2 linked regions of the Saccharomyces cerevisiae S288C genome follow. The protein of the gene in region 2 binds, or shares a complex with, the protein of the main gene of each other region. Each region holds a gene or a part of one and is shown on either strand. Other genes may lie near its edges.

Region 1 (4,433 bases), on a different chromosome or scaffold from region 2:
TGATTATAATATGTACTTTTATATATTTTCTTTATTTTTCATTATTTTGACAAAAAGCTAATTTGATAATGTCAACAGAAAAATCCCTCGCCTTTCCGGTGAAATTTGTCACAGCCATTTGAGATGATATTATTGAAATCTGAGCATGGAGGAAAAAGAAAAGAGATGCGACAAGATGATTTAATGGGTCCAAATCATTTTAGCCTACGTATCATGTATAAAATAATCATATACACCTACCCAGTATCCTTATATGCAGTAAAAGAGCTCAACCTGAGCAAAACGTTTTCCATCAGTGCACTTGGAATTTTGAATAGTAATTCCAACCGGAGTCCAGCGAAGAAGCAAACCTTCTTTTCTGCTTGCGTTGCTAAGTCATATAGCTCTTTCTTTATTTCTATTTGTATTCTCGATCTAGCCTCTCATCTTTAGGCAGCAGCGGCAATAGGCTCAGGGGGGTGGATGCCTGCCTCTTCGTAGTACTCAGCCAAGTCTTCTTTATCGAAAACTACATCGATCATCAGTGAGCAGCTGGGACAAACAGCAACTTTTTCGCCCTCAAACATGTCATCCAGATATATTTGAAACCTATCTCCACAGGGACAAGGATAGGTGAACATTTGATTTTCAGGCTCAAACGTCATATCTTCGATTTCGATTTCGTCATATGTTGACATTTCAGCTGGTAATGTATTGTACAAATGATGTGCTTACAGTCGTGGTATGTATGTGTCTTTGAAAAAAAAAAGCGATGAGAAGCTCTTTATAGCGATAATATAGGTCCTTTTTCGGATTTGTCTCCACCCATTTCTTTTTCATCTGCTCTAACTTTTGTGACTTTACATCCATACACCCTCTTTAACACCCTTACACTTTTACAAATTTTCCTTTTTCATCAACTTTAAAATTATTGCGTGAGAAGTTCCTATTTTCTGATTTTCTCAGCGGAATAACCTTTTAGAATCCTGAGCTGCGAGCAGAGCGGCCTCGCCAAACCCGTGCTGGGCCTAGTTCCCCCCTCCATGTTCGGTCCTACACACGAGCATCGCTGGGAAAGCTTGAGGGCTTTCTCTTACGCAGTGTTCATGGTGTTACGGGATGGAACTGTTTCATATACGTTATTTACAGGCCTATCTTAAAGTTATAGGAAATTACACTTGCCATTTGCTTTTTGGTACTCACAAGAAGACGTTATAAACACACCAGGACAAAAAGTATGTGCTATGGTCATATGAGTAATGGAACTACATATTATTTTGAATGCTACAGGACCTCTCTTTGAATGGAATAGATAGTGGAAAAAGTAAACTTAACTAAAAGGGATGATATAAATTGTGACAGGAGCAGTGCACTAAACTGAATCCTTTGTGTACCCAAAAAATCAAGCCTCTTATGAAACGCCGAGTTTTTCACAAGAAGAGATGAAAAGAAACCAAAGCATATTTCAAGATAAGAAAAAAATTCCGCAACTTTTGTACGTTCTTTATTTTACTAACAAGCGTCATTAAATTTTCTATTACAGTTACAAAATGGGTATTTCTCGTGATTCTCGTCACAAAAGATCCGCTACCGGTGCCAAGCGTGCTCAATTCAGAAAGAAGAGAAAGTTCGAATTAGGCCGTCAACCAGCCAACACCAAGATCGGTGCTAAGAGAATTCACTCTGTTAGAACTAGAGGTGGTAACAAGAAATACAGAGCTCTAAGAATTGAAACCGGTAACTTTTCTTGGGCTTCTGAAGGTATCTCCAAGAAGACCAGAATTGCTGGTGTTGTTTACCATCCATCCAACAATGAATTGGTTAGAACTAACACTTTGACCAAGGCTGCCATTGTCCAAATTGATGCTACTCCATTCAGACAATGGTTCGAAGCTCACTACGGTCAAACCTTGGGTAAGAAGAAGAACGTCAAGGAAGAAGAAACTGTTGCCAAGAGCAAGAACGCTGAAAGAAAGTGGGCTGCTAGAGCTGCTTCTGCCAAGATCGAATCTTCCGTTGAATCTCAATTCAGCGCCGGTAGATTATACGCTTGTATCTCTTCCAGACCAGGTCAATCCGGTAGATGTGATGGTTACATCTTGGAAGGTGAAGAATTAGCTTTCTACCTAAGAAGATTGACTGCTAAGAAATAGATGAAATGAAAATACTACCAATTTTTTCTTCTCTTCTCCTCATCTCTTCATATAGTCTTATATATCATATATGCTATTATTATGTGTGTTTAATTATCATATCATTTTACCATCTTTTTCACAGGCGGTGTCTGCTGGAAAACACACTTCATGCTCTAAATTTTTCAATTTAGCAGAGAATACGAATTTTGCATTTCAAGGTTTGCAAGGTCATAGTATATACAGAAATAAGAACGATTAGTTAAAGTCAGAGAAAAAAAGCAATATTGTTATCTGCAAAACTTCGAAAAGTTCAGTACAGGTCTGTGTTAATATATTTTTTCATCATGTTAAATTGAAACAAGAGTTTTTCTTTTACCAGCAAAAGCACCGTCTAGCCATTTCAAAAAAAAAAAAAGAAAAAGAGAAAAAAACAGTTGGGTGACCACACCTATCAATTTTTTTCACAATTGCAGCTGTGGTTACTTGTTGGCTATACGATTCAGAATGGTAAACATTTGGTATAAGATAAAACCCATGGGATGTGAAAAGGAAAAAGTAATTAGGAGGGGTTTGCGGCGCCCTTTTATAAGAACCAAGAGATGAAGAAAGGACACATCTTGAAAGCGGAAAAAATCGCGACGCACGAACACGAATATTTCAATGGTTTAGGGTTTAATGAGATGAATGGACACCAAAGATCCTCCTTATCGCTGGGACATGGGGCTAAAAAATAAAATATCGGAAGCCTGCAATGAATACTGTACCATTTACATCTGCTCCGATTGAGGTAACTATAGGGATCGATCAGTATTCCTTTAATGTCAAGGAGAATCAGCCATTTCACGGAATCAAGGACATCCCCATTGGACACGTTCATGTCATTCATTTTCAGCATGCAGATAATTCCAGCATGAGGTATGGCTACTGGTTTGACTGTAGAATGGGAAACTTTTACATTCAGTATGATCCTAAAGATGGCCTTTACAAAATGATGGAAGAAAGGGATGGCGCAAAATTCGAGAATATTGTTCACAACTTCAAGGAACGGCAGATGATGGTTTCTTATCCGAAAATTGACGAAGATGATACCTGGTACAATCTTACCGAGTTTGTGCAGATGGATAAAATCCGAAAGATAGTAAGGAAAGATGAAAACCAGTTCTCTTACGTAGATTCTTCGATGACCACAGTTCAAGAAAATGAGCTGCTAAAATCCAGCTTGCAAAAAGCAGGTTCTAAAATGGAAGCCAAGAATGAAGATGATCCTGCACATTCTTTAAACTATACAGTAATAAACTTCAAATCTAGAGAAGCCATAAGGCCTGGCCATGAAATGGAGGATTTTTTAGACAAGTCTTACTACTTGAACACTGTAATGCTACAAGGAATTTTTAAAAATTCAAGTAATTATTTTGGGGAGTTGCAGTTTGCGTTCTTAAATGCCATGTTTTTTGGTAACTACGGGTCGAGTTTGCAATGGCATGCTATGATCGAACTGATATGTTCAAGCGCTACGGTGCCTAAACATATGCTCGATAAATTAGACGAAATCTTATATTATCAGATAAAGACATTGCCTGAACAATACTCAGACATCTTGTTGAATGAACGAGTTTGGAATATTTGTCTGTATTCGTCATTTCAAAAAAACTCCCTACACAACACAGAAAAGATAATGGAAAACAAATATCCAGAATTGCTTGGTAAAGACAATGAAGACGACGCTCTTATTTACGGTATCAGTGATGAAGAAAGGGATGACGAGGATGATGAGCACAACCCTACCATTGTTGGCGGTCTCTATTACCAAAGGCCATAACGATCATCGTGCGGCGCTATCATCAAACGTATTTGACTTGATGCCTATGGAGGTTATGGGTGCCCTTAATTAGGGATCGCTGTGGAAAGTTATAGAATATTACAGAAGCAGCCACAAGGGTGACCAGAAGATGGTTAAGGGATGTATCATATTGCACAATTGGAAACGAATGGAAGGGTATATAAAGTGACTGAAATTGGTAGCATAAACATTCTTGTATGTCAATGTTTGTCACTAAACGGATAGAATAGGTACTAAACGCTACAAAGAAAAATGTCTAGAGCAGTTGGTATTGATTTGGGAACAACTTACTCGTGTGTTGCTCATTTTTCCAATGATAGGGTAGAGATAATTGCAAATGATCAAGGTAATAGGACCACTCCATCGTATGTGGCTTTCACAGACACCGAAAGATTAATTGGTGACGCCGCCAAAAATCAAGCTGCAATCAATCCTCATAATACAGTTTTTGATGCAAAGCGGTTAATTGGTCGTAAATT
Region 2 (6,236 bases):
GTACGTATTCAAGAGAGATCCAACGTCTCCTTTTTTATTATTAGTGTTCACTTCATGCATACTTAGAACACTTAATAAGTAGCCTGCTGCTTCTTTGAAACAGCCTATATTCATGGATGATACCGCCAGATTATAGCGAGCTCTAACAAAAGAAGGTTTTAGTTGTAGTGCCCTATGATAGGCTTGGATTGCTTCCTCTGATCTATTGGAATTGGCCAATGAAGCCCCTAATCTATTCCACATGAGTTCGTCATTAGGATTCACCCTCAACGCACTTTCAAAGCAATCTATGGTTTTGTCAAAATCATCTTTCGTGTAAAATAAGAGACCCAAGCATAGTTGTATTTCAGGATCTATTGTGCTTAAATTGTTTGCTAGTTGCAAAAATTGCTTTGTGATATGAGCGTTCATATCAATATGGGTAAACCCTTTCTCTTTTTGAAATTTGTCATCTTGTTGCTTGATCCTTGACCAAATTTCCGGGTACTTAGTTTCTGCCCATTTATCCAGCATTGTGAAGGCGCTCATATCATAACCTTCGTTTATATAACTTATCGCTAAAGTTTTCATTGCCTCCAGATTCTTTGGGTCTAACTTTAAACATTCTTCGAGGGCGCTTATGCCGTTCAACTCTTTTTCATTCTGGGTTTGTACTAGACCCAATCTTAGCCATGCATCCACATGGTCCGGTTTTTCTTTAACAGCAGCTTCAAATGCTAGCGCTGCCTCGCTCAATTTGGCTCCGTTTTCCATCAGTAGGCAGCCAATTTTATAAGCATTAGGATTATTAAAATATTCGTTGTTAGATTGAAAAGCATACTCGATGTTCCCATTTACTCTACCGCCGAGATATTTCAAGTAGTCTTCTCCTAGATTGAGGTCATCATTAACTAATTCGGATGGCAAGACTTCTTCAGCGTCCTTGTGTATGCTATCCCACACTTCTTGGAAATCAGATTGATACTGATCTCCATATACTCCTTCTTCCTTCTCAACAGTTTCTGGTTTGTTTTGTTCTACTTCACTCACATTTTCCTCCTTCTCTATTTCATCATTTATGTCCAAGTTTTCTGAGACTTCTTTTTCCAGCTTTTCAAACTGATCTGTCCAGGGTTGTTGTTCTTGCTCATTGACTCCTTCTTTAGAACGACCAGACTGTTGTTGATTCATGAAAGCAGGCGATTGGAGCCTTGATCCACTAAGACTGTTCATAGAAGCATAAGCATAGTTATTCATCATGGTATTAGGGTACTGAAACCGGCTTGATGCGGTTGTTGAGCCACGCTGCCATGCCTTTTCTGAATTTCCTGTATCCGCGTTTCTATTTTGAATACTATTACTACCTTGAAATTCCTGTGACCAATGAGATATATCGTTCACTCCCTTAATTTGGGTTGGGTTTGCTGAAGTCTGTAGAGAATGTACGTTTGAAAAAGGTGGAAGCCTGCCTGAGGATGGCCCTATTTCCATTCTTCTTTTATCATCGATCAGTGGTTCTCCGTTTATGAACCTTTGCATATTCGCCATGTTTTCTTGTGAAATAGCATTAACATTGGATATAAAAGCCTCACTAATACCTGGCTTGTTGGTACCCTGTAGAGGTGACTCATTAAGACGCCCATTATTCTTCTGATTAAACTGAAGCGATTTGTTCTGCTGAGTATGTTTGTGCAACTGCGCAAGCGGATTATTTCCCACTGAGCAACTTCCTACGTCCATGTGTTATGATATATTGTTTATTGATGTATATATATCCAAAAATAGGAACTAAAACTGTTTGGTGAATCAATATTAATCAGAAACCTTTCTTATGCTTAATTTTGTTCATATATATTCTCCGCCGGAAGAGGGTACCGACTTGTCGGAGGAATTCGGAGTTAATCGCGATGATCCGTTTTTACATATTCGAAGCTTACAATCGAGAGAATTACCAACGACAATAGAATTTTTGACAACGAAAAGGTCAATAGGAGCCGAAGAATTAACATACAGGACGGATGGCAAGACCAATCGATGTTAGTCAGCTGATTGCTGGTATAAACAAGAAAAAAGGACTAGATGAAAATACATCAGGTAAAATCAGCAAGCCTAGGTTTTTGAATAAACAAGAAAGATCTAAGCAAGAACGTTTGAAGGAGAACGAAGAGAGTTTGACGCCTACGCAAAGTGATAGCGCTAAGGTGGAGATTAAAAAGGTAAACTCTAGAGATGACAGTTTTTTCAATGAAACAAATGATAAGAAGAGAAATCCATCAAAGCAAAATGGCTCTAAATTTCACTTTTCTTGGAATGAAAGCGAAGATACTCTGAGCGGATATGATCCTATCGTTTCAACTAGAGCTATAGATTTGCTATGGAAGGGAAAGACTCCTAAAAATGCTGCAGAATCTTCATATATGGGGAAGCATTGGACTGAGAAGTCCTTGCACGAAATGAATGAGAGAGATTGGAGGATACTAAAAGAAGACTACGCTATTGTTACAAAAGGTGGGACAGTAGAAAATCCATTGAGAAATTGGGAAGAGCTCAATATAATACCAAGGGACTTGTTACGTGTTATTATACAGGAGCTGCGATTTCCTTCACCAACTCCTATTCAAAGGATTACTATTCCAAACGTTTGCAATATGAAACAATATAGAGATTTTCTTGGTGTTGCCTCTACAGGTTCGGGTAAGACTTTGGCCTTTGTAATACCGATACTAATCAAGATGAGTAGGTCACCTCCAAGGCCACCATCTTTGAAGATTATTGATGGCCCCAAAGCGTTAATTTTAGCTCCAACAAGGGAATTAGTGCAGCAAATTCAAAAAGAAACACAAAAAGTTACAAAAATATGGTCCAAAGAGAGCAACTATGACTGCAAAGTAATTTCTATTGTTGGTGGACACTCCTTGGAGGAAATTTCATTTTCTCTATCGGAGGGTTGTGACATCCTGGTGGCCACTCCAGGACGTTTAATTGACTCTTTAGAAAATCACTTACTTGTGATGAAACAGGTGGAGACATTAGTACTAGATGAAGCTGACAAAATGATTGATTTAGGTTTTGAGGACCAAGTAACAAACATTTTAACTAAAGTCGATATAAATGCTGACTCTGCTGTGAATAGACAAACCCTGATGTTTACCGCTACAATGACACCCGTTATAGAAAAAATTGCAGCAGGATACATGCAAAAGCCTGTTTATGCAACCATTGGGGTTGAGACGGGTTCTGAACCTTTGATTCAACAGGTTGTGGAATATGCAGATAATGACGAAGACAAATTCAAAAAGTTGAAGCCAATTGTCGCTAAATATGATCCACCAATAATAATTTTTATCAATTACAAACAAACTGCTGATTGGTTAGCAGAAAAGTTTCAAAAGGAAACCAACATGAAGGTGACGATTTTACATGGTTCTAAATCGCAAGAGCAAAGGGAACATTCTTTGCAATTATTTCGCACCAACAAAGTCCAAATCATGATCGCAACAAACGTTGCCGCAAGAGGATTGGATATCCCTAATGTTTCCTTGGTAGTCAATTTCCAGATTTCCAAAAAAATGGATGACTACATCCATAGAATTGGTAGAACAGGTCGTGCAGCAAATGAGGGCACTGCTGTCTCCTTTGTTAGTGCCGCTGAAGATGAATCATTGATACGTGAACTTTACAAATACGTCAGGAAACATGATCCCTTGAATAGCAATATCTTTTCCGAAGCCGTAAAGAACAAATATAACGTCGGCAAACAGCTCAGTAATGAGATTATATATTAAAGTTATATTATTTTCTTTCTTTTTTTTGATGGACCCAAGATCTCAACTTTCAAGTTATTGTCTATATTTTGCTAAAAAGCCAAGACGCAAATTTACAAACTTCATTGTCATTGAAAGTCGGGCTAACTACTTGTAGGCCTATTGGAAACCCATCTATCTCACCAGATTGTATTAAATCATTCCAATATGTTTTGATCATTTTATCTTCTGGATTGAGCGCAGAAGTGGTATCCATTAGCCCATCAATTTGGCAATCGACACTACCTACAGGTATAGATAATGATGGGAAATTTAAAACGTTGAATAGTAAAATGTATCGTAAAGTTGTCTTTAGCATGTCACCAGGCCTAAATGGCATCAGCGTTGTAGGAGATATGATAACATCAGGCCTTTCTGATTCCGGGAAAGAAAGGTAATAATCTCTCATTAATTGTTGTGCATTATAAACTCTTTTGGTCAAATCCCACCATTCATTAACAGTATATGGGGGCCTTCCGTTTTCCAAAACCATTGGTTTTAAAATATCTAGGAGTGGTTCTCCGGAAATTTCGAATTCGTTTTTTATCTCGTTACCTGAGTCAGCAACATCTGCTTCATTTGCGAGATCAAACAATTCCCTGCTCAGTTCACTGGAAGGCTCCCATTTAACTGCCTTCATTCCTTTAGTTTTATTAACTAGGTCTTCGCACGTCTTTAAAGCCCTGATGTCACTGGGCGGAGGATCAATAACGCCGTCACCATACCATATTCCAACAACATAATTATCGTGTAATTTACTTGTAGAGGAATCAAAATGGTATGGAATACACTTGACGTCTTGTACCCATGGTTGACAGATGTTGATAACGCAACTCATGAAGTATCTCAAATCCGAAAGATCTCTTGCCAACGGCCCAATTACACTGGGAATTGTTTCCCTTCCCTCAAATGAATTATCCACCCTCAAGTAAGGGACGCGTCCAAAAGTTGGTTTCAAACCAAATAATCCTTGGTAACTACTAGGAATTCTGATGCTTCCGCCTATATCAGTTCCTAGTCCCAGCAAGGAACCATGAGCACCAATTAACGAACCCTCTCCACCAGAAGATCCACCACTGGAGAAGCTTAAATTAATACTATTATATGTGTACCCAAAGGTGTTAGATTGTGTATCTGTAGCCATCATCGATGAAGGTACGGTGGTTTTTACAAATATAATAGCTCCTAAATCTCTCAGAAAACTGACAATCAATGATTCTTCATTCTTGGTTTTTGGTTTGAAAGTTCGACATAAATAACCCAGTGAGGTGTCTACACCCTCAACGTTACATTGGTCTTTGAGAGATATCGGTATACCGTACAAGGGTGGCAATATGGCTGGTCTATTGCTGTCGTAATAGTCAGCCAATCTCAATGCCTCTGAAAACATGATTTCGGATAGACAATTCACTACTTGATGAATTAAAGCAGCCCTATGACAAAATGCAGCTGTTATTTCATGGCAGCTTAACTCTTTTGCTTCCAGTGCCTGTCTCAAGGCCATAATCGTGGAGTGGGTGATCTGATTTTCTGAAGATGAGCATAAATCATCGATATTCTTGATTAAATTTTTTTTATCGTTCTTCAACCTCGTTATAGTTGTGCTGTTTAATTTCCATTCGTCTTTTATCTTACTGTTCAGTTGATCTTTTTTTAATTGAACTTTTTCCTTCCACGTTGAGTGCACAGTCATTGTATAACTTTGGTACCGTGTTGTCTGTCGTTAATAACAGGTCAGAGCGGCTGTCCCTTCCACTCCCCATTGAAAAAAAAGTATTTACTCGACTATATATATGTAATACGCTTTTGAATACTAAAATAATGTTATCAGTAATCTTATCTATTATTATCATATTATCATATTATTAGCTATTATTATATCATGAGCAATTCGCGCGCGCGGCATTTGAGATAGCAAACTTAATCCGTCACACAGATAATACTACAAATTATGACACATAATACTCCCGGTACTCAATAATATCTCATTGTTCGGTCACGAATGTGTCATTGACTATCCAATAGAGAATCAAATACAACGACTACTGGGAACTTATCTCCAGAAAGCCGGCTAAAAGTAGGTGCTTGACATAAAAAAATCTCCCGGGGGCGAGTCGAACGCCCGATCTCAAGATTTCGTAGTGATAAATTACAGTCTTGCGCCTTAAACCAACTTGGCTACCGAGAGTCGATTTCTTGCGAGGTGTTGTATCTCAAAATGAGATACGTCAGTATGACAATACGTCATCCTAAACGTTCATAAAACACATATGAAACAACCTTATAACAAAACGAACAACATGAGACAAAACCCGTCCTTCCCTAGCTGAACTACCCAAAAGTATAAATGCCTGAACAATTAGTTTAGATCCGAGATTCCGCGCTTCCACCACTTAGTATGATTCATATTTTATATAATATATAAGATAAGTAACATTCCGTGAATTAATCTGA

The links. The genes of interacting proteins can lie anywhere in the genome.
Region 1: PRP28 (region 2) and AAR2 share a complex: the UniProt entries of both Saccharomyces cerevisiae proteins name them as parts of the U5 snRNP complex.

Annotation. Positions count from the first base shown.
Region 1 is NC_001134.8:86,222-90,654, reverse strand, and holds AAR2 (U5 snRNP complex subunit AAR2), read left to right. Parts: upstream 1-2,865; coding exon 2,866-3,933; downstream 3,934-4,433. Other genes in the region: YBL071C (uncharacterized protein), read left to right, coding at 124-432; KTI11 (Kti11p), read right to left, coding at 429-677; YBL071C-B (uncharacterized protein), read left to right, coding at 1,099-1,197; 40S ribosomal protein eS8 RPS8A, read left to right, coding at 1,530-2,132; Hsp70 family ATPase SSA3, read left to right, coding at 4,207-4,433. UniProt on the Saccharomyces cerevisiae protein: Component of the U5 snRNP complex that is required for spliceosome assembly and for pre-mRNA splicing. Involved in splicing pre-mRNA of the A1 cistron and other genes that are important for cell growth.
Region 2 is NC_001136.10:946,046-952,281, reverse strand, and holds PRP28 (mRNA splicing protein PRP28), read left to right. Parts: upstream 1-1,997; coding exon 1,998-3,764; downstream 3,765-6,236. Other genes in the region: PEX5 (Pex5p), read right to left, coding at 1-1,719; AMD2 (putative amidase), read right to left, coding at 3,826-5,475. UniProt on the Saccharomyces cerevisiae protein: ATP-dependent RNA helicase involved in mRNA splicing. May destabilize the U1/5'-splice site duplex to permit an effective competition for the 5'-splice site by the U6 snRNA, resulting in the switch between U1 and U6 at the 5'-splice site.